Linked DNA regions of Drosophila melanogaster. The protein of the gene in region 1 purifies or fractionates together with the protein of each later gene. This does not show direct contact. Each region holds a gene or a part of one and is shown on either strand. Other genes may lie near its edges. The genes, in order: CG11247 and fabp.

Region 1 (16,402 bases):
ATGATCCTTTACACTGCTCCGTCATCAAGTTGAAAGGCCACCATTCACCAATCATATTGCGCAGACTAAAAAATATCTTAGCAAGCCATTACACTGGTGACCCAGCCACTATAACTAGAATAAAACAAAGCATTAAAAATGCATTGGAAATGGGAAGCCTTTCACAAAAGACCATACAAATCCGCTAAAAGTATGCGATGGGAACAAGGAACCCTTTAAACGCTTCCGAGGCAATTCACATGTCAAGGATATGCAAAGAATTCCGAACAGGAGTTCGTCCAGAATAGGTCTGATATAAGTTTTTCTTAAAGGCAAATGGCTTGCACTGAATTTTAGAGAACTGAAATCTTTGAGCTGTGTGTAAACAAATTTGCATCCATTTCGACAATTTAATATTAACCATTAAAAGCAATTATTTCTCATGCAATTATTATTTCTCGACAATCGGTAGATGTTGAATAATAATATAAATTATTAATAATTCAAAATAACACAGTCAGATGGACTGACACGTATAGATGAGCACACTGCTGATTATCCTCCCTTCTCCACTTACTTTCACATAATACGTTTTGATTAAATACGAAATACTAAATTATTTACGTAAATGATAACTTATTTGTTTGATATTGGAGTCGGGATATTTAATTTATTAATTAGTTTCGCTTATCATATCACTGGTTTCTATTTAGACTTTTTGGACTGAGTTTACTTAAAATGTAAGGAAAACAAGCAGACGAACCATTTTTAAACATATTAGCAGAAATATATTTTTAACAACAAATTGCAATCCAAACAGAACAAATTAAGAGAAGGCAACTAGCGTTACTACCAGCCTAGTTGCTGGGGAGCAGCGCTGTAGGCTGCCAGGTAATACGGCTGCTGGGCACCCACATAGTAAAACTGGGGCGTGGCCAGTGCTGGAGCCTGAGCTACTGGAACCAGCGAAGCCACTGGAGCCACAGCCGCATCCACGGGCAGCTCCTCCAGGCGAGCTGTGCGTTGGCGGAGCAGCTTTGGCTTAGCCAGCTGCAACTTGCCCAATCTATGGCGGCTGCGCAGGCGGGCCGGAGCAGAGGATGGTGTGGTGGCCTCAAGTGAGCTCTCCTCGGTGTCCACCTCCTCGTTCTCTGGGCTAGGCTCGAAGGTGTCCACTGGTGGATCCTGTTCCGAAGGCAAGGCATCTGTATCCACATCCTCGGGAGGTCCGTAGGTCAGCGCGGGCTGTTCGGCGGCGGGTTTAAGCTCAGCAGCCGAGGGGTAGGGGGTGGGAGCCAGCTCCTGCCGGGCGAACGCCACCGGACGCAGGCGCAGAGTCCGCCGAAGTGGTGCCTGTGCCGCACAATTCACCGCGCTGATGGCCGCCAGCAGGAGGAGGAGCGAACTGAAAAACTGGTAACGTGCCATGATCGTGGGACTAGCAGTTGAGCTGTGTTTGCTGTCGTATATGGAGCTTTAACTTTTATACTTCCAAGTGCCGCAGCGGTGGCCCTGCTCATCGGTGGTCACTGGTCAGCGATTCTAGCCCAGCCAACAACGCCGTGAATTTTAAGCAGAGCGCCGCGATTTGAAATCCATCAATGCGTATGCATTGTATGTCAAGCAGGCGCCGCACAGTGGAGTGGAATTTAAAGTGCTAGCAGATCTATAGCCCTAGTTGCCCATGCCCATGTGGACCATTGGCCACATGCTTAGTATATAAAAAGGGAAGTAGGTTAGAAAGAAATTCATTAGCTCAGTTAAAGTAATGACATATTTATAAAATTATAGAATTACGTTAGAAAACATACAAGTCAACGAATGACATTCGTTACTAGTTCGACTTCTTTGGTTGCAACCCATTCCTCATCCGCAGTGGTTCCACGTAAAGTGTCAAAGTTAAGTGCCCGCGGGTTATAATTAACGGCCAATGGTTATGGCTTAGACATGGGCCCTTGACTAAATATTGTCACGTCCGTAGGCCAACGAAAGGGTGTCCCTCGGTGAGCCAAATATACCCGAGTGGCCGAAAACTTCAGTTGGTATAAAAGGCGCGAAACTGGCAGCCACTGACAACATTCTAAGACAACTCAGCAGCAGCTCAACATGGCCCACAAGTTCATCTGCTCCCTGCTCCTGATCGCAGCCATGGCTGCCGTTTCTGTTGCAGAGCCTACCAGATTCCGGGGACGATTTTCCCGCCTGCAGTTTGCCCGTCAGGAGCAGGCTCCAGGGGATCAGGCAGTTCCGGCCGACCCCGCCGTGGATATTGCACCTACGCCGGCCTCAGCCCCTTATCCGCCAGCAGGAGTGACACCGGAGGTGCCCTTCGACCTGCCCACGGAGACTGAAGCGCAACCTGATCTTACCTACGGACCCCCAGATGAGCCCGACAACACCTACGGCCCTCCCGATAACACTTACGGACCACCTGCTGAGCCGGAAAACACCTATGGACCGCCGGCTGATGGCCCAGTGGACCAGGCCCCTGCTGCCGATCCCGTGCCCGCCGGCTTGATCCAGCCTCGTAACGAACGCCTCCTCAGTCGTCGTCCGACCCCAGAGAAGCTTCGATCCGCTCAGATTATCCGCTCTGGATCAGTTCTGGTGTACACCATCTGAAATGGGTCAACCCTAATTTGCTAGAAATCAAATGGAATCGACTCATTAGGATATGCATTTATTACTTTGTCGCTAAATAAATTGTTGTTGAATATTTTAATTTAAATAATAAAATAATTGCGTTAATATTCAAGCCACCCTTTTGTCATAAATTGAAAATTGCAAAATATGTCTGTCTTGTTGTTAGTGAAGCAAAACATATTTAATTTGTTGTTGGAGCTAACAGATATATGAACGCATTTGCTTTTCTATTAAGATCTTATTTTCTTAATCAGGATCAAATCACAAAAGTGATTCGGGAGTCTCAACTACAAGTTACCCTGTGCTCTATTATCTATTAAAAATCTTGTCCAAGCAGTATCAAACAAGAAATCCTATATTCGGCTTCCCTGCTTATCAGATACCAACTACTCAGCTAGTGGAAATGCGAACGCGAACTTGCATACTTTTCCTGGAATATCGATAGATATTGGTGAATAAAATGCGTTGCATAAACTTTTTTGTCAATCAACAGAAATTTACAAGACTAATAAAAATATGCAAAATGTCAAAACAATTTGCAAACGTGTGGGCGTTGCAGTTTTGTGTGGTTCGTGGGCGTTAGAGTGGGCGTTTCTCTAGAAGCTGTGAGCTGTAAGCTGTAAGCTTAATCTCAACCCTCTAGCTTTTATAGTTCCCGAGATCGAGACGTTCATACGGACAGACGGGCATGGCCAGATCGACTCGGCTATTGATCCTGATCATATATGTATATACTTTATATGGTCGGAAAAGTTTCCTGTTACATAATTTTCAACACATCTTACTCTACGAGTAAGGAGTATGAATACTATATTTTTTAACCCGATTTTCACTTACCATGATAAAAACTCAAAGCTCAGAATATAATAATTTTTGGTAAGGCAAATGAGTGTTCCAAAAGCCAAGCTAATAGTAAATAACATTGTTTTTGAATTCGATCGACCCTGATTGAAACTGTCCAAATGTTGCAAATGGGTGGGACGTGCTTTTAAAAGTGCGTGCTTGATGGATTTTTTCACAGCCTATTCTGTTTTGCATGAATACAAAGTTCATCAAATAAAATTATGAACTGCCAAGAACCCAAAACCAAACAAACTCGAGTGTTCACAGCTCACTCCAAGTGTTAATGAATGATTTGCGAAGGAGGGAAAGGGTGGCCTATTCCAAATCATAGCATTGGAAAATCAATTTCGAAAAAGGGTCACGTATCGGGTATTAAGCTGAAGCTACATTGCCGCCGATCAGCGCAACATAATCAAAGTTTTACCGGGAATAAGAGCCTGAAACTGAAAGTGACGAGCATAAATTATAGCAGAATTCGATCTGGTAGCTTGGGGCTATAAATACGTCGTGTCGGATCGAGAAATCAGAACAGAAGCCCTTCAACCGCGAAAATGTTTAAACCGACTGGCGCACCAATTGCTATTCTTGTCCTGAGCCTGTTGGCGCTGAGCTCCGCGGAGCCGATCCGCCGGAGGTTCTTGGCGCGCCAAGTGGAGGCTATACCCAGTCCTTCGCCCACCGGATATCCGGAGGCGGGCATCACCCCGAGTGTTCCCTTCGATTTACCCAGTTCGACTGTCAAGCCGGAGAACACTTATCTGCCGCCTGATAACACCTATGGACCTCCGGACAACACATACGGGCCACCAGATAACACTTATGGACCTCCAGAGACCGACTCCGTGCCGGCTATTGCTCCCGAGGCTGAGCCGCTACCAGAGAATCCCATCGAGACTGATGATATTCCAGAGACTGAGGAAGCATCGGTTGACGGTGCCAAGCTGCAGCCCGCTGATGAGGACGCCGAGGAGGATGAACCGCAGCTGGATGTTGCTGAGGATGGCACTGTGATCGTTGTAGCTAGCAGTCTTGACCAGCCACAGTCCGTCCAGTCCGCCCGACTCTACCAGCGATTTCCGCAAGGACGGCGTTCCCAGAGGCCCGTTCCTCAGCGTCTAATCCTGCGTCGCAGTTGGTAGACTTTAAAACTTTAGCGTAAGCAAATACGTCACTGCGTCAGACTTAAGGAAATATCATACAGGCAAAGACTCTAGAATAATTATTCTAGTGTCTTTGATACAGGGCTGGAATCTATTCTAACGATATCATGCACTCACCGTACACAGAAAATATATTTACAAAATATTACTTACAAAATTCAATTTAAAATGAAATCCATACTGAAACTAATAGGAAAGCGTTATATTTATTATTTTTTTTATTCCTGTGTAAAAATAATATACAATTATTTTGTATAAGCACTCCCTTTTAAAGAAATCTAACCACACATTTTCATAACAGCCAGTACTTACACGCGCCTTAGTCACCACCTCCATGGGCACGTATCGTTGGACCTGGCTTATAAGTCATCGGCCTCGAGGTTTCTTCGGGCGTTTGAATTGGGCAGTTCCCAAGGGCATTCCTAGGGGGTATTTATAGGCGCCACTTAGCCGCCCATGCAGCAGTTCATGTCAGCACACCACAATGTCCGGTTATCCAAGTGCTTCTCTGGTCACCTTTGCGCTTTGTTCCATTCTTTGCCTGAATGGAATTGAAGGCAGTCATCTGAGGTTCCCAGGACCCGCGGCGGGAAGGTTTCTGCAAAGACAGGAACAAGCCCCATATCCACCAGCAGGCCTGGTCCCCGATCCGCCATTCGACCTGCCAACGGAGGAGGCGGTTGAATTTCCTCAACCGGAGGATACATATGGCCCTCCACCTGAAACATACGGACCACCGTCTTTGGTGGAAGCGCCAGCTGAGGTCTACGGCCCACCGGACCAAATTTATGGACCTCCCGATCAGACCTACGGACCTCCAGACCAGCCAGCCAATGATGACAGCTCCAACACATTGCCACAAAGCGCAGCTATAATTAATTTGGCAAGTCTGCCGCTACCACCCCAGGCTCAGTATGTTCTGCCGCTTCTGAACCGACTTTCTGCCTTCCGCCCGCAGCGTCCGGTTCTGCGGACTCCGCAGCGACGGCCGGCTAAGCTTACGGTTCGTCGTCGGCCAGATGCGGTCAAGATTGTGAATGCTATTAGGCCTACTCCAGTGTTCCCATCGACTCCGCAGGCTTTGCCCTTCGTGGATCGCCACATTCCTTTTCGCCCACGGCCATCTCGCCTGATAGTCAATGCGCCTTTCAGACGCCCATCCAGGCAATAGACTACTTCTTTCAGCACTCCAAGCAATGTCATGAATACACTGTAAATAAAGTTTGTTGTCTATGTCTAATTTGCGATCGAAAATAATTAGGTAGAAAATTCAGAAGGCCAGCCGCTTCATCAGCAGGTACATGTGCTGGTCCACCTCGAAGCCATGAAGATTGTTGGCGTCACCCTGAAGTCGCATCAGCAAGCCGCCGAATGACACGTAGGCGGAGAGCCGGGAGGCCTCATTGTGTGCTTCGTCGCCCTCGATCCTGTAGATCTTGCCGTACATCACGTACTCAAAGCTGTCCGCCCGCGTTCCCTCGTGCTCCATTGGATTGTACTCCCCGCTGTCCGGGCAACCATCCTCGCGCAGGGTGGTGGCCAAAACCAGGCGGAACTTGTCGCCCAGCTCCATGGGGTATAGCCACGAGTTGATGTCCAGGATGAGGTCCATCTTAAACGACTCGGACTCGCAGTGCAGGCGGGATACACGGTCGAACTTTTTGCCCTCCGGATCCATGTCCTTTACGTTGAAGATGTCCTCAAAGAGTACTCCAGCCATTTTAACTGAAATGTAGTATTTGATGAGTTATTGCTTTGAAGTCAGTTTAGTGGAGCTCCAAAAACGCACGCCTTACCTTGAGTCGGCTAATTAGATTTTATACGTATTTGATCTTATATGCGGAGGTAAATGCGTGTTCTTTTATGAACTGGGTTTATATCAGCAGAATTTTATTATATTTAAACTGTTAGCGACTAATATTTATTTCTTAAATATTTTGCATGCGCGTGTTAAGTATGAGAGATGCCAGATCTTTCTGGCGGCTTGAGTGTTGCCACACGTCTGCGATTTCAGTGAGCAAAGTGGTCACGTTCAGCAGGCTGTGATTTCAGTGTGTAAAAGAAGTCACGTTCAACAAAGTGTGCCTCACTTTGTTCTTACTGAAATTTCAATAAATATTGCAGTGATACTGCGCAATGTGATTTTTAACTTATTTATAACTTATTGCGCCGCAACCTACACGTTATTGGATTTTCTCTAACTAGTGACTGTGCATCACGCTCCCATCTGTGGCCGCGCAGACAGAGAGTCCCAGTGTGACCGTCTATCGGTGAATACACATCACTAACATTAAGAACAACATCGAAAAACCACCGAAAACTGTTATTTATTTTGCTGGACAAAACGCAGTATTGGCTTAGAATCGGCAAACCCGCAAAGTCCCACAAAGGTTAAGCCGCAGGCAGCACGATGGATACACCTTGAGGAGCCAGTCGGACTGCCACCTAGCGGATTGCAAAAAGTATGTACACACAGCTCGTGGTGTCGAAATTAAAAACAAATAAGAAGCGAACTCATAGTCGGACGCGGAATGCATAGGAAGTCCAGGTGTGTCCCATTCGGGGTGATGCTAAGTTTCCTGTGGATCGAAGGCCCTTAGCCTAGCGACTCCTGCTTTTTGCGAAGGTAAGTCCACGCCCGGTGGGGCTTTGGTGTTGGTGTTGAATGTGGAGCCCCTGGGCCAAATGTGTAGCATATGTGTATAATGGATTGCTTTACGTATATGAGTGCTGTGGTGCTGGTTCATTAATTACTAACAATCGGTTGCAAGACCCCGAAAACTACACAGTCGTCGAGTTTTGTGCCCCGAATACGAAAGACTTCAACGGCCCCTACCCTCATCCAGCGACCGCCGCCGCCTTAACCCTTACCCACCCCCATAACCCCGCCTATTTAGCATTACAAAACTGCTGTTATGTATTCACTTCTTTATTTTCGCTTTTTGTGTGTGATTTTCGCTGTCGTTCGTGCTTTTTGCCCTGTTCTCTTTCAATTTCGATTCCCAGCTGCGGATTCTAGCTTAAATTCGCTTTTTCAACAGTTTGGTCGAGGGCCGTTGTGCTGCTAAAGTGAGTTAGTTTTCAGCTTCTGCGGGTGCGGCTCTAATGAACCATTAACCCTCCGCAGGGGGAGGGGGTTGCTTGGCACTGGAATCGGAATCGGAGGGTTCCCAATCTGCTTGCCAGATGTTCGTCCCAGCCCAGGGTCATCGTAATCGCTCTCTTGCAGTTGCATTTTCAGTGTTCTCGCTTTTCATTGGAAACTCCGCCGCCTCGGAGAACAGACGCCGCGGGATCGAAAACGCTCAGGTTGCACAGCTTTATCTCGATATCTTTTTATAGCTCTACCGTGATTTTAGTGAAAGCGGTGGATTGCTTATCAGTTGTTGCCTTCCTCGGGATCTTATCAGGCGGTTTCTCCATCTCGCTCCCGCCCAAACAAAAGATTAAGACAACAAACTAAGAATTTTTTTTGGAAGCTTACGTTCGCTGGAAATGTCAATTGATAATGCGACCCACTTCAAGACTTGGGCTCCTAGCTCTGTACACCGTGAAAAACAGTCCACAACCTTCCGTTGTTAACTAGATTTGTAAAGAAACGAATATATTTTCTAATTGGATAGCCAATGAATTGCAATTAATTAATTAATTATGATAAACAACGTCTAAAAATCTCAAGTGATTTCGACAACACTGCAAAAATAGTAAGAACTATTGCATTAACGTAAAAAGTGCCATGCTTTTCGAAGCCCCTAAATATGCAAATCCACCAATTTTGGTAATATTTTTCCTGTGCATAGGTCTTATCACTGTTGACACAGCTGGAGTTTCTGTTCCGTTGCTGTTTCTCTTCTTGTTTCTGTTTCGGCTTCACTTGCGGTTACTATTTCTGTCTGTGTTTTTGATTCTCCGTCTGCTTCGGAACGTGGCGCTCGGCGAGTGGAGAATTAAAACAGCTCTTAACTTTTTTTGCAGCCCATCTGAACTAATCCAAACCAAAGGTGAATGGGAACTATCCTAGAAGTAGCAATCGAACCAAAAAATACGAATACCCTAAATTACATACGTAGAACATTAACCCTAGAAGTAAAGACAAACGCAGCAGGTGCCGGTGTTTCCCAGGAAGCGGTCCCCAGAAATTTAGTTACGAATCCAAATAATAAAAACCAAACAAATGGTACGCAGCCGTCGTAGTGTGTCCAAGGAGGATGCCGTCTCTCTGCTCACAGACAGCGGCATATCGCTGTCTTCGCCGCCGGCGGCGAGGGAATCCTCACCAGGCCCTACGCTTGCGATCAAAAGGAGGAAGAGCAGCTTGGCAAGTCTGCGCGATGCTTGTGTGGACGAGGAGGAGGACGACGGCGGAGAGCAGGACTCAAAGGATGATGATTACGTGCAACCGCAGCTTAAGAAGTCTGCCCGAAAGGGCGAACCGGTGAAACGCAAGCACCATGTCTGCAGTCAATGCTCCAAAGAGTTCGGTGGCAAGACGGATCTGCAGCGCCACATGCTTATCCACTCGGACGAACGACCGCACAAGTGCAAGGATTGTGGCAAGAGCTACCGCCAGGCGGTCAACCTGAAAAATCATATCACCACCGCCCACGAGCATCGGAAACAGTTCGTTTGTTCCCAGTGCCCAAAATCATTCGCCCTCAAGGAGCGCCTGCGGCTCCACATGCGCCTCCACTCTGGCGAGAAGCCCTATCCTTGCGACCTCTGCGACAAAAAATTCGCCCGAGGAGGTCAAGTGAGTAATACGACATTCCATTTTTAACTGAGATTTAACAATTAATTTTATATTTTTCTCATAATTTGATTTATTATAAACTTAAATAATAATATTTATTATAATAATTAAATATAAATAAGTGTATTTAATAATGAACTTTCTATTAGGCTTTTGTTTTTATAGGTCTTAACCATTGGTGTTCCTAATATATATTATCATTTATATTGCAGCTGCAACAGCACATGGTTTCTCACCACAAGACGAGTATCCAGCAGTTCAACTGCACTAAGTGCTCGGCCAGCTTCTCAACCAACGCCAATTTACGGGTGCACATGGAGCGACACGAGCAGGGCATGGAGCACCGGTGCAGCATCTGTGAGAACCAATTCGCCAACGAGCTGGCCCTGCGAGCGCACATAAACCAGGAGCACCACAAGCTGACGCAATTTGAGTGCGAGATATGCCATAAGATGATCGAGCCGGACGAGGATTTGGCCACTCACATGCAGAGGCACACCGCTGTTAAGACCCACGTCTGCGAGGTGTGCAACACATATTTCACCCAGAAAAGCCAGTACAATGTCCATATGCGAATGCACACGGGAGAGCGCCCCTATCAGTGTAGGGTAAGTTGAAAGGGTGTTAGCTTGCATGCAGCCGTAAATTATGTTTCTACTTCCATCAGATCTGCCACCAGACCTTTGCCCATTCAAGCGTACTAAAACTGCACATCCGAAAGCATACGGGGGAAAAACCCTTTCGCTGCCAGCTGTGCGAAGACGAAGTAGCCTTTTCTCAGCTGGCGCACCTAAAGAACCACATGAAGAAGATACACAAACAGCAAAAGCCCTACATGTGCGAAGGCTGCCACGATTTCTTTAAGATCAAGGTGGAGCTGCAGTCGCATGTTGAGCACTGCGCCAAGTGTCCAGTTGACGGGGACAAACCCAGTGGCAATCAGTCTGAAGATGCGCAAATTCTCTCTGTCTTAAGATTTAACATGGCAGTGGTACTGAAGAAAATTAGCTCCGCTCAAAAGCTGCGCCAGTTGGGCTACGAGAAGCGTCTAATCGATAACGTTATCATTGCATCCTTGAAGCTGGCTCAGCGACAATCCCATGACGACGCCACGATGACCCCATTGGCCAGACTCCGGCTAAATGTGGAGGAATTTCTTAAGTGGATTGTGCCAGCCCCCACTATGCAGAAATTCAGCGACGAATTGTTGTCTATAGACACGATTCTTGAGAAAATTGCTACCATGTATATGAAACAGAAGTAGAATCCAGGAGTTGATAGCCAACGCCAAATGCGAGTGTGCCATAGAAGAAGGATTTGTAGAACTAGTTCTTGCCATTTAGTTTAGTGTTTAGTAACCCAAAGTTGCAGAACGAAACCCAACCAAATAATTTATCCCAAAGATATATACTTTGTAGTACAGGTCATTTTAATGAATTACTACCCTTAATCCCAATTTTGCTGCTACCAAAAAGTATAATTTGAAGAATGTATGAGTTAGTGTTGTCATAATAATTTCCCTATTAAAGGAAATTAGTTTAAGAACGAATTTCGATGCAATAATTTATAAAATAATAGGCATAACACGATTGAAACCTGAAATATTTTTGTATGCTTAGTCTTGCCAGAGCAACAGATTGTCCCGGAGTGAATCTATAACAGCTCAAGTACAATACAACTCATTGTGGCCATGCTTGTAAAATTAATAAGCTTAATGCATTTAGTTGCCATTTGTCTTTTCCAACAAAAGTGCAAAATCTGAAGTGTACAACTGAAATGCAAATCAAAATACGCAAGTGAAAAAATGAAATGAATAATAAATATTATTTGTGACTACAACCCAACACTGGATATTAGTTTTTCGGACTTTTTAATCATGAAACAATTTGCAGCAAGTATTATTTTCGCTTATTTTTAAGATTTCGTAAGTCTGCGAGCTTACGTAAGAGTTAGAGAAAGTTTATGAGAACGAATGATAAAAAGAACACATTCCCTTAACTAAGAGTGAGCACGTCCACTATCCCACAAAGCTGCTCCCACACTTTTGAATATATTAATATTAATTTAATAATTTTGGTTTTTATTATTATTATTGAAAGTTTCTATGTTTATTCCAAAAGGATTTTGGCCGTCTACAACAAATGGCAAAGGCCTTACATATTATTTCAGTCAACTTTCGATCTTGCTGTAGCTGGTGTCTGGAAGTTGAGGATCTCGACTAGCATCTTAGGAAGCGACACGGCTTGAATCAATCAATTTTCTGCATCTCCTGGCTTGCGTGCCTTTGACCTTTGAGGCTCATCTATGGAATTTCAAGTCCGGCTGGAAGCTGCATTCCATATTTGAATGCGGCCAAAAGAGCAACGAGTCGCACAGAAACACCCAGGCACACCCAACCGGGCTGGCATCTAACCACATAAACAGTTAGGTACAAGTGCCCCATGGGTCCCTGCCCGTTGGCCATAAATGGTCTGGGCTTGTGCACAAATTTATAAGCCACTTACATTAAGGTGGCCAATATTTTTTATGGCAAGCCCCGCACTGCATGCGAACCGAGCTCTCTGAGCAGCGGTGGCATCTGCAGGCGCTGTGGCACCTGCCCGCGCCACTTCCTCCGGTCCGCCACCTTCCACCCACCCGGAGCAATTAATGAAATTTGCACGGCGAATTTATTGACGCGACCGTTAGTGTCAACCCAAAGGATTTGCTTGGCCACGAGATGTATGTACAATTTTATGTGTCAAATATAGTTATGATTTTATGATACCCCGCTTGGGTAGCAGGCTGGGATTTTCCTCCGGCCATACCATTGCGTGTCTGTCACCTGAAGCTGCTGATGTAATCTCCGCCGGTATGCCATCCCATCTCACCCCATGCCGTTCCCGCTCCCGATCTCGATTTCTTGTCCCGGGAAGCAGCTTAATGTCTACATTTGTTCTGGCCGTTGCGTGTTCAGTGGTTGCCCTTTTTGCAATCTCAGCTAACTCGGTTACTCCTGCTCCCACCAACCAGCAACCACCGCCCACCGCCCACTGCCACTTCTATGTCCTCCTGCTTCTCCACGACCGTGGCAACTGCAAGTCAGGCACTCCAGCTCCTTCAGCTTCTTCCACAGATTTAGTCTCGCCATTTCCAGCAGCTGCCGCTGCCATGGCGCATTAGAACAAATTGCTCTTGTTGCGATAGGAAGGATGGACATGCCTTTTGCCATGTTTGGGCCGACGGACGGAATGCCTCTGCTGGTTAGAGAGCAGTCACACTCGATCCATCGGCTATATGTGAAAACTTGTTCAGTTGTATACAGGAGGACAATATCATTGCTGTTAGTCGTTACAATTTACTTGCAATATTATGGGAAATAATATAATATTTTCAACTCAACTTCAATTTTCAATTACTTACAATTAGCAAAAAGTTTAACTGGTATCGTTCCCAAGTAAATTAATAAATTCTTTACAACCTTCGTTTCATCATGGTTTTTGGCATAGAATATTCCTAAGAAGAGTATATGAAATTCAATAAACTTCGTTTAGATTTGCTTGTTTATTTTCCAAGTAAAATGCGCCACGAATTCGTGAAACAAATAGTCACAGACGTAAGTACGCATGTCTCGCCTGTTGGCCAGGGCTCGTTGGTGGCTCAGCCTCATCAGCATACCTAGATTTGACCGGGACAATGTTAATGATGAGAGCACGGAGGAGCAGCCCGTTTCGTGAGCCTCCGAGGAGCAGTTCCATTTCCGTTTTCCCTTCGGGACCTGTGGACTGTGTAGCAAATTGATTTGGCTTTAGTCCATGCTTGGTCGCTATCATTTGCGTTAGCTTGTTTGGCATTATGTAATGCATATATAATTCTTTTGTTGTCTGCGTCTTATTAGAGAATTTACTCTGGCATTGGGGTAATGTCATACCACTTTTCTTAGTCTCGGAAAAGTTCAAGTGGAATTGTTCACTGACATCAAATTTGAGGCGGAGTTGGGAAACTGGCCAGCTAAATTGCAGTAGCCCACGTCATCGGCAAGGGGCTAAAGAGAAGACATTCATAATTGCCTGGGAATGCCCAAGTGAAACCAATTTCACAGAGCATTTGAATTCAACTAGACTCATTTTGCATTCGGCGGCTAAGTCGAGTTTTCAAGAATTTATAAGTTTTGTAAATATCGTAAAACTACTTTTATGGCTGTGTACTTATTTTCATGAAGAGCGATACGTACATCTTTATTTTTTAACCATTTAAATTATTGTTACATTACTATTTTGAATTTGCGAACTATGATCTAAACCATTTATATTTTATTCTACACGTAAAATGATTTGGATTTAATACATATTGCTTTTGGAAATATATGCTGGTAACCTGTAATTGGTCAGCTTTGAGGAGAGATTTTTGGATCTCAGCCAAGGGGAGCCAAGTCATTGAGGTCATTCAACTTCTGCTGGCCAGGGCGTTTAAGGAGGCAAGTCAAAGTCAAGTCAAAAGTCATAAAAGTATGCAGACCTGGGCAGTCGGATTGCCTTAGCAAAAGTACAAGTCTACAGATGGTTTGTATAGCCAAAGCTCTGGTCTTGGGCACGGGATTGAGATTGGGCTTGGACTTTGCTTTAAGAATGGCTTTGTGCATGCGTATGAGTATGGGTATATGGGTTTATGGGTACGGCATGGGGAAGTGTGTTGCAGTGGTAATCCTTGGCCATGTCTGCGCTGCCCTTATTGCAACAGCAACAGAAACAGCCAAACAGCATCAAAACAACAATTACAAATGGACGACTTCTTTGTTCTGTCAGCAAGGCCTGCTGCAGTCCAACAGCCCAGAATCAGCATCAGCCACAGCACCAGCACCAGTAAAAAATCCAGTTGGGTCTCGGGCCCAAGGTTTGGGCCCAGTTAAGGCCAAAAGAGCTCCAGCCAGAGTTTTGCGGTAGCAACCCAAAAGAGGGGGCGTCGTCAGAGTCTTCTCCATCTCCATCTATGCTGCAGCTGCTACGCATAAACCATACGATCGGCACTGCGAGAAATAAACCTGAAATACGTAGTAGTATATTAATTATATTTAATAGAGTTAAGATCTGTATGACATGTTAAGCCAGAACCTGCAACAAATTTATCAGATCACTTTCGCGTTGATCACACAGACTGGAAAATATTTAAATAAAATCAGTGATAATATAATATCACTGCAGATTCTGTTCGCTTGGGTAATTTTTCTGGCCAAAACAAATATGAAGAGCTGCGTTCAGCGGCCGCGTCTCTGTTTTTGTCTAGGACACGGAGGAGTCAGAAATGTGCAACGTTATCATAACTAAGTTCATGTGGATGCGTGTGCTTGTGATTTTCCCGAAACGAAACGAAACCAAAAGAACGAAACCGTCTGCATATGCATAATTCATGCTATTGAACCTTCTGCGGTTATGACTGGACATGGACATGGGGCCCTGGAGGTGGGGCAGTGGTAGTGGCAAGGGGGGGGGGGTGTGATGGGCAAGGGGACTTCAGCCAGGCAACTAGAAAAATTATAATTTCACAAGTCATAATAGGATTTGCAATTCAAATGCGAGAAGGCAACGCAGACACTAAAAGCGGACTCAAGTCCTCTGGGTTTCTTTAAGATTGTTCCTGTTGTTGTTGTTGTTTTCATTTTTGTTGTTGCCATTTCCTTTTTGTGAAAATGTCTGGGGAAGGAGCAAACAACAATAAGAGGCTTCTCGGCCAGGGACCAGACTTATGGGCCGGCCAATATGTCAAAAATATTAAGAGACATGGACAATGGGCCCGGGAATAGGATCGAGAATCAGCAACAGAATCATTTTGGGGCTTGTGGTATGGGGATTGGCCAGACTATCGGAAGAGGATCATGCATAAATATGCAAACGATAAGAGCTCTCCTCTATAAAGTTGTAAAATTGACAAGCGTTGCAATGCCAGACTCTCAAATAAAGCAATAAAATGCACTAAAACATCGCCGGCCACGGATCGCAACTCCGGGCCGATCGGTAGCCATGGACCAAATGCAAAAATTAGAAATGAAAGCCAGCGGGTCGCAGCAACAGATCCTACTGCTCCTTCACCACCAGCACCTCCTCGCCTGCTTGCCCAGAATTTATGCCATTCTGGCTGGGACTTCGCGGGGCAATGGGAAAGATCCGATGGAAAGATGAGCACGGAAGCATCATCGTTTGTCACTGGCGCATGCAAAGGCTCAATTCATGATTCTACATCGACATCGCGAAGGAAGTCCGCCTCGAGTGACAGCAGGCAGCGCATAAAGATAACAAATAGTATTGCTGTGGGTTGCATCGTAATCATGTCAAGCTGCCCATACCCATACCGGTGGCCCCAGAAGGGAAGGCCACAACTTACGACTCACTTAGGGCTTCCTACTTTATGCCAGATCGAGCGTCCCAGGAAATTCAAAGAGATGAAGTTGATATAAATAAGGACAACGAATTTTTGGAATTTGGTTTTGGACTTTCAGTTCTTCTTGAAGCCTTTTAAAATTTCAGTTCGTCTCGAAGAAAATAACAAAAGACTTAGGCAAAGAACTTGACAGTTTTTCCAGCTAAGTACGCAAACGAAGCGGGCAGATCTAATTAGGGATTAGTCGCTGGCCGGCCTTGCTCAGCCGTGCCATCATAAATATTTAATGATATTGTCAGCTCCGCGCTATGAGACCCTACATATGGCTCTGATCTTGACTTCAGACCAGGCTCTTTCCCCGGCTTTGGCTTCAATTTAAATCAAACGTCGCAACGTTGCTGTCGTCGCCACGAGGCTCGTTTTTGGCATGGGCTTGAGTTTGGTTCGGCTGGCCATGGCCTTTTATTTTTAGCATATATAGTAACCATATGATCGACACTCGAACTCGCCTGAGTGTGTGCTAGTTCTATTTTTAGTAATGCCTTTAAGTGGCGACCGCATTCGGCCTGGCCGTGGCCTGAACTCTCTAGAAAAATGTGTCCCGCTGTGAATTATGTGCCTACATAAATTACCCGGCCAGGAATTAATCATGTTTTATGCAGGACTGCGGCAA
Region 2 (17,391 bases), on another chromosome or scaffold:
TGCCTTTAGGACTGTCTCCATTTGGGGATTCTGCTTTCTGGTTGGCATTTTTGACCTTTGACTTATCCCTGACTTTTGTCTCCGGACGATGCATGAACGCCTCCAATCGCCTAACGGAAACCAATAGCTCGGCAAACTCGGAGATGCCCTGCGGGAAAAACATTGTCACCGATCGGCGTAGGATATTGTAGTAGGCAGTGACGAAGAAAGCCTTCTCGGCATTGAGAATGTTTCCCAACAGGACGAAGGCAATCAGACTGGAGGAGGTAAATATGCGGGACAGGAACATCGCAAACGAGATGAGGATGCCGCGGATGTAGTTCACTTGCTTGATGCACAGCATCTCATTGAAGCGGGTCATCTCCACCACCTTGCCGAATGGCTTCTCCCAGGCGTACATCTTGATGACCTGGATGCCTGAGATAATCTCGTTCATCATGCGGACACGTTCGTCCGTTCGCAAAGCGGTACGCAGGCGTAGAACGCTGGTCCGCTTGCCGAGGTAGGATTGGAATGGCAGGAACAGAAGCATTATAGCAACGCCAAACATGGATGATATGCCAATCTAAAATATCAGAAAAATATATTGCTAAATGTGCTGTATTCAGTTTCAGCGGGGTATAACTTCATTTCGATATTAATAATGGATGTACTTGACTTCCTTAATTGGCCGCACACGATAAGCAATTAATAGGAATACCACAATATTTGTATTCATGACAAAAACATTTTTCGATAGTTACATATATATATTTAGGAAACGTACTATCAATTGGTGCCATAACAGGAAAAGATTGATCGAAGATATATTAGAAAAATATTTAATTAACATTGAAAATAAGTGTCCATTCATAAATATTATTATGATAAAGTATAACAAAATATAAAAAACTTTCCACCAAATTTTCGGTGACATTGAAAGCTTGCCGTGCTCAAAAAAAACTTAAAAGAGCCGATTCGGAACAGGTTTAAGCATTTGAGCTTTCGACTAGAAAATTTCTATTTGATTTTCTGACCACCTACGTACCTCGAGATACATCAGGTAGGTAACTGCAATCAGTTCCAACGGAGCTATCCACAGGTAGTGAACGTTGATCAGTACCAAGTCAAATCGACCCACATCGTTGGACAGCAGATTGACCACCTGACCCACTGTGGTGTCACCCAAAGCGGTTCTACTCAGCCGCAGGGCCTTGCGATAGATTAGACTGCTAAGTGCTGCAATTTGGAGAGGATTAACATCTGGATTAGCTGAGATAATCAGCACTTACCAATGCGCATCTTCATGCCCAGATGAAGTAGACCCAGCATATAGGGATGACCGATACACACACTAAACACGGAACCAGCTATAAGACCCGCTGCCCATAACTGGGCCTTGGAGCGATCCGGATCATTCCCGGCAAAGTATGCCATCACTCCAATCAGGCAAATGGGCTGGGTGACTCTGTAGTTGGATAAGTGGATTGGTAAGTATTATTTCAGATTCTATGGTTCAGAACCCACTTACTTGGTCAAAAACTCCTGGGCAAGCAGGAATACTCCCGTAATGAACAAATGAAAGCCAAACACTTTCGTCAGGGCGCGACCCAAACGTGGAGTTTCATTTTTCGCCACCTGCTCATCCCAGGCTGCGCACAACCGATCTCCCAGGGAATCTATATATTAAAGATGATACCCATTAATATAGCTGCGAATGGAAATTAATCAAAGAACTCACCCGATTTGTGCTCTTTGAGGGCTCTATATAGATCCTTTTGTTCCAGCGTCTTCTTGCGGCCTTTAAACAGAACGGGTAGGGCAAAACTTCACGTTGGATCGGCAACAGCATTACGTAGGTAGTTTTTATTGGGTGTACAATAAAAACATAATTAGCGAAAGACTGTCTGTTATCAGGCAATGATACTGATAAAGTAAAAAACGAACGAACAGACAATTGACAACAACTGACAACAGTTGCTATCCAATGCAGCGTTGTAAAGCGAGTATGTCACGGTCAAAATTGTTAGAAGCGAATGATGTTTTTTCCTCAAAGCTCAAATTTCACAGACTACAGAAATAATAATTAAACTTCTATGCAACTGCGCAAAACCCATACAAAGTTCAATTTTAATAACTACCGTACTTATCTCAGTAAAACCGAATGTTTTATTAATAAAAGAGTACATGTATGTACATTTTCACAGCATCCATATTTGCTGACGCAAATGAATCTATATCTTACGATACGCGGACACAAAAGAACAGTTCAGAGTTCCTTATCTTATATGTTATTAAATAATTACATTACATAAACAAAAAATAAAAGCTCTATACGTTAGCCGAAGATAAACAAATTCTGTTATGTCAAAAAGGAATCTTATCAGAAGCTGTACATCAAAATTAGTTTGTTGCGTTTTAAGTTTATGTGTTCTATCGCAATGATTCATAACATTTGTCAGCAGTTTTTCCCCTTTGGATATCTAGTTCTGTACCTAGCGCTGTTAGATTTCCTCTGGAATAATTTTGAAAATGGATCTTAGCTAAGTGTCGCCCTCAATTGGTAACCAATTGAATGGGAATCCGAGCTCCCGTGAAATGCAAAATGATTTTGTCGCCTCGGTCACGCGAATTAAGCGAACCATTGAATGAAATAATCAACTTGTCAGTGTTGTCACGTTATATGCTCCCCAAATCCCCCCCCCCCACACACACACACACAACAAAGCACATGAATAAATAACACCTAAACTAGTCATCAATGGGTGCTTTTTTCTTATCATCGCGCCGAAAAAAAATGTTCGATTTTAGTTTACTAACAATGCCATGATCTTTGAATATGTGTATTAATAGACTTGTAAACTGGTTTCTATTAGAGCTATTAAGTTTATAACCCACATACATATACATATATATATTCTATTCTTTTTGCAATGAGATGGTTGGACAAACCATTTAATTAAAAAGAAATAAAAATTTAGTCTCGAAATGCCCAGAAAGATATAATTTCTACGCTCACCAGAACATAAGTGACGAGAGGGGACTGGATCGCTCCCGTGGATTCTCCGGCAGTTCATCGGCTTTCATCGACTGCATGCTGATTGCACTGATTGGAGCTAAATTGCACTATATAGAGTGTAGCATTACAAGTACAGGGGACTTGCTCGGTCACCGGGATTGCCTTTGGACGACGGCGGTTGATTAGCACTTTTCGATACGAAAGGGGACACGCGCTCTATTTTAATATAATTAGTTTGGCATTAGCCGAGGAGAAACCAGATGGAAATGCGAGCGATTTCAGATTCCGATCTACGAATTCGATTTCTATTCACGTTTGCGGGAAGTAAACTTTTCCACTGGCACAATGCAGACTTCAATATTGCGTGGCATTCGGATTGGAAGAAGTGCTGCTGCGAGATCACGGTTCCAAAAAAGATCACTTCACGCGGAGATATTCGGTATTTCTATCTGTTGCAGGCGTATTTCGTCATAGATTGCCTTGTATTTCGTATGTGATTTAGTTCATAGCACATCTTACTTATCGCGAACGTATCGAAGTACACATGGCACTGCGCGCTACTCTACCCACGACTATCTGCTCGCTCCGAAGGTCCGACTCGTTCTGACCCGATCCGCTCTCGGGCTCCACCTTAAATACATGTCACTCTCTGGGTAGGTGTTGTGCCAGGTTAAGATCAGCGCTCTTTGTGGGTGCTCTCCAATGCTCTTGGTGGGCTCTCCATTACACTAGACTCTTTGCCACTCTCTTTATATCGCTCTTTCATAGCACTATTCTCGATCTCTTTTGTTTGTGGGTTATTTGTTTAGTCTTTAGTGAGACTAGTGATAAGCAGGTTAACTTATATTTTCCTCGTTTTGCGCGACACTTTGCAGTAGTAACCAACGTGTAACAATGATACGACACTTTTATGGTGCTGGCAAACATTATTCTAACATGTCCGATAAAGCTGTTGACTCTTTGGACTTTGTAGTTATAAAGTTAGGATCAGATAATAGATGTTGTATCTAAAGTTTTACAAACGCAACAGCTGTTGCACGGTCTCATTATTTGTCCATTCCATTACAAATCCAAATTTTATTATTAACTACTTTACCGCACTAGTTGAGCGCAGCTGTTAGTTGAGGTTTTTTGAAAAGTTGATATTACGATTTTGTGCTGCATACTTTCGGGCTTTAAAGTTTCCGAATGACTAAATGCATGTTTCTTCAACGCAGTCCAGGAATGGCTGCATGCAGTCGAAAAATGGACTGCCAAATGGAATGTGGCCATTAACTCCTCGAAGTCAGCCTGTGTAACTTTTACCCTGCGGCCCGGAACTTGCACAGATCTGACTTTTGATGGAAACAATGTCACATCGCACTGCTACCTAGGAGTTCATCTAAATCGGGGACTGACCTGGAGGGCCCACATCTCGTCGGTCAAATTCAAGTCACTGGCGAAACTAAAAAAGCTCGACTGGCTCTTCCACTCCAGTAAATAATACACATTAAGAAGTATATATATAAAGATATACTGAGAGTATATCATATTTTGTATTGATCAAGACGTTACTTATTATTGGTATACATAAATAATATATGTAGTACATATTATGTACATAAGTATGTTTCGTGGCAAACCCCCGTAATCTCTTTTATTTATGACGATCAATGCAATAATAAGGATGATCGGTGAGGGGGGTGCGGGATCATGGACTAATTGAATTAATAAGATAACGCTTAGCAACAAACAAGTCGGTATCCATGTAGGTGGGCCCTCCCACGGGATGGGCAGGCTTATGGAGATCGTGGGTAATCTCAATATTGCATTGCCTGACCATGGGTGGAAGGAAGTCCTCGATTAGATTACAATTCACCGGCGACTTATCAAGAGTTATTCATAACAATAATATAAACGAATTGTGTCGAAAATTATTTATACACATTGGTAAAATGTAGAAGCTCGGGAGATTCTTTTAATGGTGCCACTGACCCACAGAAAAAAGTCTACTAATTCGGAATATATGGGGGGCGAACAGTCGAGACTCAGAAACCTGGATAACGGATATCCTTTTAAATAAAATATACGTGTGTATGTATGTTAAAATTTTAAATCTTGATATTATATTAATAATAATTTTGTACTACAAAGTGAGATAGTCTGGGTTTCAAATAAATTCCCCTTCCTTACTTGCACACATTGGGTTTCCCAATGCGTAATCTGAAATTCGGAGAAAAGTTTAAAGTTCGCGCCAAAATAGGCAAGTTTTGACTGTATAATGCGAGATACATTGCAGTTCCATTGTCAGCATGACAATGTGGCGTTCGTTATTAGGCCGGTGCTTTTGAACCAATTAAGGCTGCAGCCAATTGATCGCGCCAAGGTGAAGGTGCTTGGGTGCTGGGAGGAGCAGGAGGAGCTGGTCAGACGTTGGGTGGCAGTAACACGTCCGATCCATTACCAATATGCGGTGTGAGGGGGAGTGGTGGCCCCCATAGAACCGTTAATATTTTTTTTGGAGAGCGCCTAAAAAAGCTGCTTTTTGTAAGAGCGCCAACGGCTTGGCGCCGACATTTCGATACCTTGGCGGCTGTACTTGGCTTTGCATCTGGTAATCCGATGCTCAGCCGATGCCACATCATTAAATTTTTAATTTGTGAGACAAACAAAAAGGAAACGTGCAAAAGCCGTGCCGCAGAACGAGAGCGAATCAAATGAGAGCGAGAGGCCATTAACTTGCATCTGGCAATGCCGTAGCCGCAACGCGAAAGTATATAACAGCCGGCACGCCGCAGAGCTTTTCATTCGCTCAGAAAATTTCAACAGTGAACATCTTGTGCAGAACACAGACCAAATATTCCAAAAATGTCTTTCGTTGGCAAGAAGTACAAGCTGGACAAGTCCGAGAACTTCGATGAGTACATGAAGGAGCTGGGTAAGTTGCCAAAACTAATTCGCAGTGCATCAAAAATAGAAAACCAAAGTGCTCGAGAGAGCGAGAGCGGGAGTGGAGGGAGAGAAAAGAAGCCGAAAACACGCCACCGAAAATCGACCGGCCGGCATTTTTCGCACTAGTGTGCAAAAAGTTTCATTGGCCAAACGAGAGGGAAAAAAGTAAATGTCTTCCGGAAAATGTTATATCAACTGAAGATTATGAATGAATTCGACTGTTAAAATAGTTTAGCTACATGCATAAATTGACACCTCATTGAATCTGCTGATGTGCGTATGTGTGTGTCAGATAAAATCAATAGAGAATAGGACCAGAGAAAGAGATGCACATCTGCAGCAATAAAAACGTGCTCCAGTTATTCACCTCACCCTCTTTCTCAACTTTACAGTTGCGAATCGGAGGACAAGCAGTATAAAATCCGTAAATGGTTATCTGCGGTAGTCATAAACCCAAAAACTAATTAAGTGTGGGGCCTGAACTTTGCTCCCCTTTTTTGAGTCACCTCCGTCAGCTTTCCATGGGACCGAAATCATCATAGTGCCATTAGCTTTTGCGACAGGTTTTATCTATTTGTGTACTAGATTTTGGGAGAAAGTCTCGCAGTGAACTTTGCACTAGACTACAAGCTTTATAGCTGCGATGATCTTTGCCCGGCTGTCAATTTAGACAACAATGAAACACCAGATATAAACTACATATAGGACACATTCGACTCTCTTACCGATCAAAGTGCAATTTCTATTGCAATCGTGATTATACTATATGGTGCCACTAAAACTGATCAATACCATCGCTTCCTGTCTAGACGCGCCATAGGGACTAGTGGCATTTGGTAACCAGAGACGGGCGTCCAGATTTATTTACCAGACCACCAGTTCGTCAGAACTTTTCGCCTACACACTTTGCGGCTTCGGTTTAATGGTAGACTTGGTCCGAAAGCCACGTACTTCTCAATTTTCAAGCCCAAACAAATCTAAAATCAACCTGCCGTTGGGGCCTCGCAGCACTTATCAGTTGTCGTACATATATAAATGCGATAAACTATATGCCTATTTATGTACACACATTTGTAGTATATACAATGTCGCAAAAGGCACGATAATTAGGCGCGATTACGGATTTTGCACTTTGGGCAGCCACCCCTATCATAGACCACGGTTCGCAATTGCAGGCCAGTCTAATCTATTCAAGGTTCTCCTGTCATATACGATGCATATAAATCGATCTCTGGTACAGTTGCTGGGTTCCCATGAGTGGGAACCTGGCGACTTATCGCGCCACGCCAGTTGACACTTGACTTGAGGGCACTGGACAAAAGAACAAGTTGGTGGTGGTCCATACATAATTGAACATAATTGATTGGACCACTTGTTGGTTTGATGTCTGACAATGTACTAGATTGGAAATAATACATGTGCCCTATTTGCTGGCACATTCGTAAGGTACCAGTGATTCACACTTTGTTTTTGATTCAACGTTTCATTTGGCGAAACTTCTTTCAAATAAAAATATAAATGCAAAATTACTCATACAGCTACGTGCATGCATATAGTATTTCAGTAATTACAAGTCCCATAAAATTAAGTGACAAATTTTAGTACTTAAACACGATTGATTGTTCACAATCGTTAAGTTATCATTTAATGATGGAATTGCTTTGCTTATCTTTCGATGGTAATTATCAGCACTTCAAAGGTTTACGATTTGGAACGTCAGCAAAATGGATCTTGACCACTTAAGCCAGTAAAATATATATTTACACTGCTTGAATGGCATTTATATTCACAGTTCTGCCCTCAAACAACATATGTATATATGGAATGCTGCACCGAGATAAGGTGGTGCTTTGCCAGATCTATATTTAAATGCATGGAGGGGCTTGCCAATTGATAAGAGCGGAGATGAGGATGAGGGAGGAGACGACGGCCCGCATTGTTCGTTAACCTTGAGCACGACTTTTGACGTTACAGCGGAACGGAATCTGCAGGGAACTTCATGGCTCGGCTTTATTATTTTTAATTAAATATGATATGATTTGCATTGTGAGCGCTTTGGGGTCCCCAACTTTGTTGGGCTAATTCAATTATGTGCAGTCTGCCCCATCATTCATCTTTCGGTGCGATCTTTGATTTCCTTACATTCTCGTGAGATGGAACTTCATTAATTTCTTTTCCCTTTCCACTTGCAGGCGTCGGTCTGGTGACGCGCAAGATGGGCAACAGCCTGAGCCCCACAGTGGAGGTGACCTTGGAGGGCGATACCTACACCCTGACTACCACCTCCACCTTCAAGACCTCTGCCATCAGCTTCAAGCTGGGCGTTGAGTTCGACGAGGAGACCCTGGACGGTCGCAACGTCAAGAGCATCATCACCCTGGATGGCAACAAGCTGACGCAGGAGCAGAAGGGCGACAAGCCCACCACCATCGTCCGCGAGTTCACCGACAACGAGCTGATCACCGTAAGCGCTTACTATACCTTGCCGTATATCATCACACCCACCTAACTGATCCAATGCCTCCCCCACAGACCCTCACCATCGGCAACGTTAAGTGCGTGCGCGTCTACAAGGCCGTCTAAGAGACTGATCTAAAACTATAATATCCATACGACTACATGCATTAAAACTAACTCAGATAGCCAATATTCTTGTTGACTAACAGTGAACTAAACCAAATCAAATGGAACTGCACGCTCTGCCCAATGTTAATTTATAATCGCACCCGTACACCCGCAGTCGGTGTATGTGGGAATACTCCTCGTACTCGGGGACCAATTTCCGAATGCATTTGAATAAACTATTACTTGAAGTGCTTTTAAAACATTCCGACTTTCTTTTACACTTCGCTTTTAAGCTTGTTGTTGCTTAGGTTAATGACGAAATGTAAGCTTAGACACAGCAATCAAAATTATATTAGTTTTAGTTATAAATTTATATTTTGGCATTTTTCCAACTATTTCCCAAATTTACGGTTTTGTGAGTAAGCAAGTAACGTGTTTTCATCGAAATAATTTTAGTTCCTACCTAAAAAAGAATTTTTAAGTGGCTTGTTTGTGAGGCGAACAATGCCAGATATTTTAGTTTGGCTTGAAAGTTATCGTTAAGGATCCCGAAATTCGTAGGGTGTCATATTTTCAATGGCTAAAGGGATCGAGAATACCAAATTCAATTACATTTTCAATTGGAGGTCATATTTTTGAATCGATATGAATTATAAAGTTTCAAATTTCAAACTGTTAAAAGAAATTCCACCTTTGGGGTTATAGAAAGCATGTTTCTTACTATCGTTTCTTATTGTATCGTTTATTGAAGTTGTATGTATAAAGAGAAGAGGCACAAGTCTGAATGGTCTCTGATTTGCTTTTGGGCTGCGGATGTTCTGCCCACGCGTTTCCGTTTCCGTTGCGATGCATTTGCTCTTGCTAATTGAGTATAAAACACAATGCTGCTGGGGCTTTTGCACTGTTCGTGTGAATGGGGTCTGTTGCAAGTGCGTGCCACAAGTGTGGGTGGGTGGCATCTGCTGCATTTGGGGGCTGGCGCAAGCGCACACGTTATCAGCGGACAGTTGGCAGCACGGCCACACTTTCGCCGGGTTTTTTTTGTTAACATTCGTCGTTTGCCGGCGGCGTTAGAACTACGTGTATCCGCATGACGCCGAGTTGCGTCAGTCGGTAAATAGTAGACACTTAATTGTTGGTCAATTGGGCGTTATAAATTAAAAAGCAAAAGCGCCGTTATCGATTTTATTAGTGTAGCACTAAATGCTCTGATAACCTGGATAAAACTACCGCGTGGGTGTGCGTAGGCTACGCGCATTGTGTGTGTGTGAACTCATTGTGTAATCGCTAAAGAAAAAATGTTGGTCTACTTTGCGGCGTACCTAACATTCAAAATTTAAAGTCAAATGTTCTTCTTGTTGTTCTTCAGCGGAGCTTTTCCAGTCCGCCCCAAAAGCTCTGTCCACTTTGTTGTTGCTGGACAAACGGGTTTCCGATTAGAGAGAGAAAGAGAGATCTTCACTGCGGTGTCAGCAAAAAAACGTTACTTTGGCGCTACTCTTCGCACTCTCTGCACAGAAAAAAGTTCTCCATAAAGTAATCGAAACGCACTTATATAGCTATCAAAATACCTTTATCAATGTGGAATCAATCTTTAGAAACTTAATATTCCATTATTAGGATCGAACTGATGTATGTGTATGTTACTCGTTTAGGATCGTTTACTAGATAGATCCACGTATCATTTCTTTTATTTTCAATTTCTGATTGATTTTCAAAATAGAAATATTTTACTGTGTACATTACTGAGCGCGGGGAGAGTGGATACCGCTGAAGTGCTGTTGTTTACAAAACGCCGACCATTGGAATTACAGTGCGCCCCTGATGCAGTGAACTATAGAGAATAGCGTGCTCAGTCTATCGATTCAATTTATTTTACAAAAAGTTTGATATTTAGAAGAATCTACCATTTTAAATCTATTGGGATAGAGTTGTTCGGACTGCTGACTGTTGGATCTGAAAATCCAAAGTCCGTTAGTTCCGGGATGCACTGTATCGCTTTCGCTCGTCGATTGGAAAATGGAATTTTTTCGTAGCCCCGATCAGTTGAGATTCAACCGCTGTCCCCATCGCCACTTCACTTCACCGCTGCCTGGGCTTTCCAAAATTATAATTATTTCGGTTTTTTGAATTCTAATGTGAGTAGTAGAGAACAATACCCGATAGCAAAGCTGCATGAGCAAAAATTAAGCGCGACTTTTGCCAGACAGCAGTGCGCTTTGAGTGTGTGGGTGTGGGCTTAATCAACCGCTTTTGAAGTCTGTGTGTGTGTGTGGAAGTCGGTAGAAACTTTCCAGTGCCGACTTATCAGTGGGTATTGTTTATGTTTATCCAGATTTCCAGACCGATACGGAAATTGGCTTAAACAGCGGCATAAAATGAATAATTATGAACTTGCAACTGTGTGCGATTATAATTTATGGTCATGCAAAAGTTATGTAATCGCACTGAAACAATATTAATTTGTCAAGTGCAAAGAGCGAAACAACCAACGAGCCTGCTGATATTGATATAGTACCGCTCCCACTCAAACCGTCCCAGACTATATCACCCGATCTTAAGTAATCACTATTGAGATTTTCGAACATTTGGTTTTTCGCTCTGTTTGTGTTAGTTTGTCGACTCTTCGTTCACAGTTTTCGAACCTTGTCCCCAAGGTGAAATGAATATGTTTTGGGGGAAAAGAGAGTCAACGATACAATGGGAAGTTACCTATGATAATGGCATTGATTACTAACTTTAAATTGGAGCCCGCTGGAGCCATTCCAGCCAAGTGGAATTCTTTTCCTCATAGAAATTGCATAACTAGTAGAGCAGAACTGCAATTAAACAAACATTTAATACGATAATTAAGGTCGATATTCGCATAGATACGCGGTTCACGATTGTACGTCACAGATATAGTTAAATTGTTTAAATAGATGATAAGGAATACTTCAGATATCATTATCTATGAAGAACAAATGCCATATTTTCATACAAGTTTTGGGGAATATTTTGAAATCCGCGCACCCACGCAGAACGAGTCTATTTTGATCCATTTACAACAATAGGATATAAATAACATTCAATCGGACAGAAATCAGCTGGAATTCACTCAGTACAATAAATGAATTCTACTATTTTCTTTCAGCTAATTCCCCACCTAACACCCAGTCAGCATGGATCGCTCCGCCTTCGCGTCCCTTGTCAGCCCGTACCGCCGACGTCCGTGGATGACGGAGCACGGAGCGGCGGCTGCGGACAGCGGCCAGGTGGGCCTTAAGGGCATCGTCGCCGGCGGTATTACGGGCGGCATCGAGATCTGCATCACCTATCCCACCGAGTATGTGAAGACACAACTGCAGCTGGACGAGAAGGGAGCGGCGAAGAAGTACAACGGCATCTTTGATTGCGTTAAGAAGACGGTGGGAGAACGTGGATTCCTGGGTCTCTACCGAGGTCTCAGTGTGCTCGTCTACGGCAGCATTCCTAAGTCAGCGGCGAGGTAAGTTATATAACTTTTGGTTATAGTTCATGTTTTGCTGATTAAAAGATAACTTTCAGATTCGGTGCTTTTGAATTCCTGAAATCGAACGCCGTGGACTCCCGAGGACAACTGAGCAACTCCGGAAAGTTGCTTTGCGGCTTAGGAGCTGGCGTATGTGAGGCCATCGTGGCAGTGACCCCGATGGAGACCATCAAGGTGAAGTTCATCAACGATCAGCGCAGCGGCAATCCCAAGTTCAGGGGATTCGCCCACGGCGTTGGCCAAATCATCAAGTCGGAGGGCATCTCTGGTATCTACAAGGGCCTAACGCCCACCATTCTGAAACAGGGCTCCAACCAGGCCATTCGCTTCTTCGTACTGGAGTCCCTTAAGGATTTGTACAAGGGTGACGATCACACGAAGCCAGTGCCCAAGTTGGTGGTTGGAGTGTTTGGAGCTATCGCCGGAGCAGCCTCTGTGTTCGGTAATACGCCGCTGGATGTGGTCAAGACGAGGATGCAGGGTCTGGAAGCATCGAAATACAAGAACACTGCCCACTGTGCGGTGGAGATCTTGAAGAACGAAGGTCCCGCCGCCTTCTACAAGGGCACCGTGCCAAGATTAGGTCGTGTGTGCCTGGATGTGGCCATCACCTTTATGATCTACGACTCCTTCATGGATCTGTTCAACAAGGTGTGGGTGTAACTCGGCGATTCGGCTTGGCGACTTAGTTACTTAGTTCATCCTTCTACCCCAAAAAACCCACTCGTGCATTTTCCTCTGTTCCCATTGTTCCCTAGTCGACTGTTGCAATAGTTTCTAGTTTTGTGACATATTCCAAGAAAGCATTTTATATACACTCTATACCCGCAATGGGTAAGTGGCTATAGAAATTATACAGCTTGTTTTAAAAATTGAATTAAATCTGAAGAGTCTATTTGAAGTTCCCATATAAATCATAGCTAGACTGGATGAAATAGGTAAGGCTTTTTGGATTATTTAGTTCGCATGAAAACGTGAATATTTTAATTGGTACTATATAATAGTAAACAGTTTTCTAAGTAAATCTCTAGAATAGATTAGGCTACGCAAACGAGTAAACTTCAGATTAGATCTTTCACCAAGAAAGGGGAATGGGTTAAGAGGTTAAGATTACTTCTAGGCGTTTTATGACAGATTGGCAGAGACTTATCTACGTAATTCACTATTTAGCACCAAGGAGGGAAACATTTGCCTTACAGTCGGACATCTGGCAGACATCTGCTATCTTTAATTGCAACTAACAACGGATAGATTGCTTGCACCATAAATAAGGACAGATTACTCTAGTCTAAGGCATTTTAGCGCACCACATTCAGCGGAATGGATGCGTTCTTGCTGCTGACGATACGTCCCAGCATCTCGTCAAGTGGCGCACCCAGTTCCTGCCAAATGCACTTGCCGATCAGCGAGATTTCCTCCAGTGGCGGTCGGAAAGCCACCAGCAGATTAAGGCATATTCCATCAGTGTTCTCCTGCTCCGAAGCTGAGTGCTCCACGCTAAGTAAGCCATGTGGTCGATGCTGTGGCAGCTCCGCACCAAAAATCTCAATCATGAACTTGCGCAGCGTAGAGTGCAGGCTGCGATTCGGATGCAGTTCGACCGTGGGAAAGTGGTGGGCGTTCTTTTCACTGACCAGGATGTTCAGCGAGTTGTGTGCTCGCTTTCTGGCTACAGCCAGAACCCGCAGATAGTTACGTTTGTGGGCGAAACGTGTGGGCAGTATGGTCCCATGCCAGGGTGAAGGGCTAATGGCAATCTTTTGCCCCTGATGATACGCCCTTCCAATCTCAATGATACTGAGTATGTCGTTGGCTCGGAGAGGTACTTCCTTGGGATTACGCACCCATCTCGCCTGAATCGATTCGGCGTCTGCATCCGCAGGAGTTTTAAGTCGGCCGCCTGTGATGCGTCCAGTGAGCACGAAGCGGAACCAAGAGCCACCGGCGGCCTCCACCGCTAATAGAGTGGTCAGCTCGGCATTTAGACCAGTCTCTTCGAAAACTTCCCGGGCGGCTGCCTCCGTGATGGATTCGCCCCTTTCCATGCGACCAGCGGGTAAGTACCACTTGCCTGGTCAATAGAGTGCAACGTGTTAGATGGTTCTTGAATTGTGGTTTTGGACATTCGGAATTTCCTACTCACCGGCACAGCTCTGTTTGGCCTCCTCGATCATCAGAAGCTCGTCGTGCTCATTGATCAACACACAGGCCACAATATAGGTGACTGTCTGTCCAAGAATGGGCACAAAATCGGATGCGGATGAGGGCTGTACTCCCTGGGCCTCGGCGGTGGCATTCTGTTCCTTAAGAGAAAAGTCACACAGTTCCGTTGTGATGTCGCCCAGATCTTTTGAGTCCAAAATGCGACGCACTTTCTCCACAATCGAAGCCATCCTGTTTTGCTAAATGATCCACTTAAGACGTTAGAAATTCAAAGCACAACTGGTATCTTCTGAAACTCACTTTAAGCGCTAAATTTCAAGGCGGCTGACTCAGTTCGCTGAACATGCTACGCCCAGTCGGAATCTCTGCATATATCTCTGAGGTTCTATATATGCAAATTACGAATTCTTTGGAGTGCTCTGTGCTCTGCAAACGCAAACAGTTTAAGCAATCGTGGCGAACTCGAGAACGGGCGGTATGTGACTGACTGCGGCTATAATGCCCAATAAAATGGCCAAGACGATGGCAATCAACTTTTTGTTGTTGTTTTTGCAGCTCGTCGCTTGTTGTCGCTACACAGGTGGCTGGCTGGTGGTGCTGTGGCCTCTATTTCTTGCTATTTCTCTCTATTTCTCTGTATTGATATCGAAATGGATGTCAAATAAGCCGCTCGACGGGTTTTCTTCAGGAGAAAGTGCATCGGAATGTGTCTCCGTCTCCGTCTGCGCCAGCTGTTCGCTATTCTTCTCGTCGCGGTACTTAACAGCTCCGTTTATCGATGGGTCATTAGGTGGTGCACACTCATTTATTGCAATGCCATTTATGGCCTAATTGATTTGCAAGTGCGGCCAAGAACAAGTAATTTTGTTAGTAAATAGAGGGCAGAGTGGCCACTTTGTTCTTGGCGCAGCATCTGGCAACGCTGCGGGTTTGTTTACTTCGATAAGGCCCCCTTTACACTAGTTTCGAATTATCGCAGTTGGGAATATATTTCGACTATATCTTTTTATGGCCTAATATGCAAAGCCTGAATAAATAATTGATTTTAAGGAATCATACCTAATCTGCTTCGTATTTATTATTACACATCAATTGCACATAGCACAGTACTTTAGTATAAAATACTAATGCATTTTCCCATCTGGTATTTAACGCCCAGCCTGGTCCCACTGCGAAAATTTAAAACCCCAACGACCGTTATAGAAAATTAATTAATCACAAAATCGCTAAACTTGTTTGCTCAGCCTGTTATTGTACACTCACGATACGATAATGTACATGTTATATGCTAATTTCAACGACGACATGCATCATTCAACTGCGCTGCGAATTTAGCCGACAAACAGCAAACAGGCGTTGCGCCATAGATTAATATTAAAGCGCATCGTTTATAAATATCCTCATCCGGCATATGGACATTTGTGTGTGCGTTTGTGAGCAGGAAGCCTCGCTGATTGCCAGCAATAAAATTTGAATGCGGAAATTTCATTGTTTACCCAAATCGATCATCATTAAAAGCATTGCTGTTGCCATTCCCGGTTTGCCCCATTGCAAAAGTGCCAATTGCCCCGAATCCATGGCGTATACTTAACGTGGGCGGTTTCAGCCACTGGATGGATGTATGAAGAATGGGGGGTGGTTTGAAATTGGGCGGGGAAACTCGTCCCGGGGAAGGTGGATGCGGTGGCTCGACTTGTCGTAATGGGTCTGCAAACTCGGATGCCTGGGTAGGTAATTCAATTTTGTGCAAATGCTTGATTTGCCATTTAGCTGCGAGACCTAATACTGCTTCTTCAGTTTTGCCTACACACAGCAAAAATATTCCCACGCAAATGTTATGCATTGTTAATGCCATGCCTTTGGGAGCAGCACTAGTTGAAGGTGTTTAAATTAATGAATAGATAGTTAAATAATTCGTGCGAGCGAGCAAATTGCAAAGGCCAGGAGTTTCAAGTTGTCTTTAGGCCTTTAAAGTTTTGTATTCTTATGCGGTGAATTTAGTTGTATAGCATTAATATAAGCATTTGGATTTGCTTATAACTCAAGTTTTTCCCGCCGTGCTTTTCCATTTCAGCGTTCACTTCGTCTTAGGCCTACTTCATCTGCTCCAAATCTTGGCATCGTCGGCTTCTCTTCGGCCACAGTTCACATAAGACTTTTGTCATTATATTGTTAATTTGTTTTAGTTGTTTTTTAATTTCCTTGGAGAGTCGCAACCTCGTTGAGACTAACAACATGCGTGCGGAGGACTCGCATGTAGTGGTGTTCTTGTTAGGATTGTGGAATGATAGGTGGGTGGCTGGGTGGCTTGGGTGCGAATGAGGATGCGGATGTGGATTTGGATTTGTGTGGGTGTGCTAATGTACTGTGAGTGGATCTCTGGTAATAACGGCTAAAGTAAAATGCTGATAAAGTGGCGAATGTTTCGGAATGTGCGAGTGTGTTTGTGCGAGCGAGGATTCTGCTGCGTGGCTGCGATGACAGGCAAAAGCGAACACAAAACGTTCATTTCCCACATGCACCATTATTCGTTGAAACCCGTAAATTTCACCGAAAACGAACAGCAGCAGTAGTCGCAGCAGCATCAAACAGCAGCAGCAGCAGCAGAAGCAGCATCAGCACAAGCAGAAACAGCAGCAACGTGGCAGCACCAATCCAAGGAGCTGCTTAACACGAGAATAATGTTTAAAATGTTTATTATGTGTGCAAGTGACGCGAGCTCCTTTCCCCCCCCCCCTTTCCATGCTCCTTGGTATCTTTCCCCCTTTTGGATGACAGGCCCAACCGACAGGCCAATACGCACACATAACTTTACACAGACAGAAAAAATGGGTGCAGGGTTAGAAGTTTGACATTTCAAAATGAGCAACGTGCACATTCAAGTACAATCCAACCTTAAGATCATAATTAATACTGCAAAGAAACTTGTCACACTATATATAGTCAATAATAAATTAACTTTAAATATACAAAACAAATATTTCGTTAATTTCCTTATAATTAGGGATAAGTATTAAAGTACAGTTAAGCCATTAGTATAGTGAATTATGTGGACTTTCAGCAACATCTTTATTGAATACTACCATGTCGTCAACAAATTTCAAGGCCTGCTGCAGATCATGACATAAAACCGAATTTTTGTAATTAGCATATTATGCTGGAAACCACTTTGCAAATTCATAAGCCCTTTATTTCAAACATTCTGCTGGGCCGACGTAAAATC

Evidence for each region.
Region 2: the proteins of CG11247 (region 1) and fabp purify together in Drosophila melanogaster (affinity purification with mass spectrometry, with the first as the bait; one large-scale study listed by BioGRID). This does not show direct contact.

The regions. Positions count from the first base shown.
Region 1 is NT_037436.4:21,719,136-21,735,537, reverse strand, and holds CG11247 (uncharacterized protein), read left to right. Parts: upstream 1-6,731; 5' UTR 6,732-7,087; exon of another isoform or gene 7,088-7,145; 5' UTR 7,146-7,251; intron 7,252-8,600; 5' UTR 8,601-8,799; coding exon 8,800-9,375; intron 9,376-9,587; coding exon 9,588-9,983; intron 9,984-10,042; coding exon 10,043-10,639; 3' UTR 10,640-11,212; downstream 11,213-16,402. Other genes in the region: CG14573 (uncharacterized protein), read right to left, coding at 829-1,407; CG14568 (uncharacterized protein), read left to right, coding at 2,086-2,601; CG14569 (uncharacterized protein), read left to right, coding at 4,017-4,604; CG14570 (uncharacterized protein), read left to right, coding at 5,110-5,796; Polr2H (RNA polymerase II, I and III subunit H), read right to left, coding at 5,896-6,345.
Region 2 is NT_033777.3:11,555,442-11,572,832, reverse strand, and holds fabp (fatty acid binding protein), read left to right. Parts: upstream 1-5,778; 5' UTR 5,779-5,845; coding exon 5,846-5,915; intron 5,916-7,721; exon of another isoform or gene 7,722-8,018; coding exon of another isoform or gene 8,019-8,049; intron 8,050-8,121; coding exon 8,122-8,393; intron 8,394-8,461; coding exon of another isoform or gene 8,462-8,512; exon of another isoform or gene 8,513-8,775; intron 8,776-9,540; exon of another isoform or gene 9,541-9,733; intron 9,734-10,536; exon of another isoform or gene 10,537-10,632; intron 10,633-11,627; coding exon 11,628-11,759; coding exon of another isoform or gene 11,760-11,981; intron 11,982-12,040; coding exon of another isoform or gene 12,041-12,668; 3' UTR 12,669-12,937; downstream 12,938-17,391. Other genes in the region: Mrp4 (multidrug resistance protein 4), read right to left, coding at 1-565, 1,028-1,218, 1,272-1,447, 1,511-1,658, 1,721-1,806, 2,999-3,075; sea (scheggia), read left to right, coding at 11,656-11,981, 12,041-12,668; CG10898 (uncharacterized protein), read right to left, coding at 13,304-14,076, 14,149-14,398.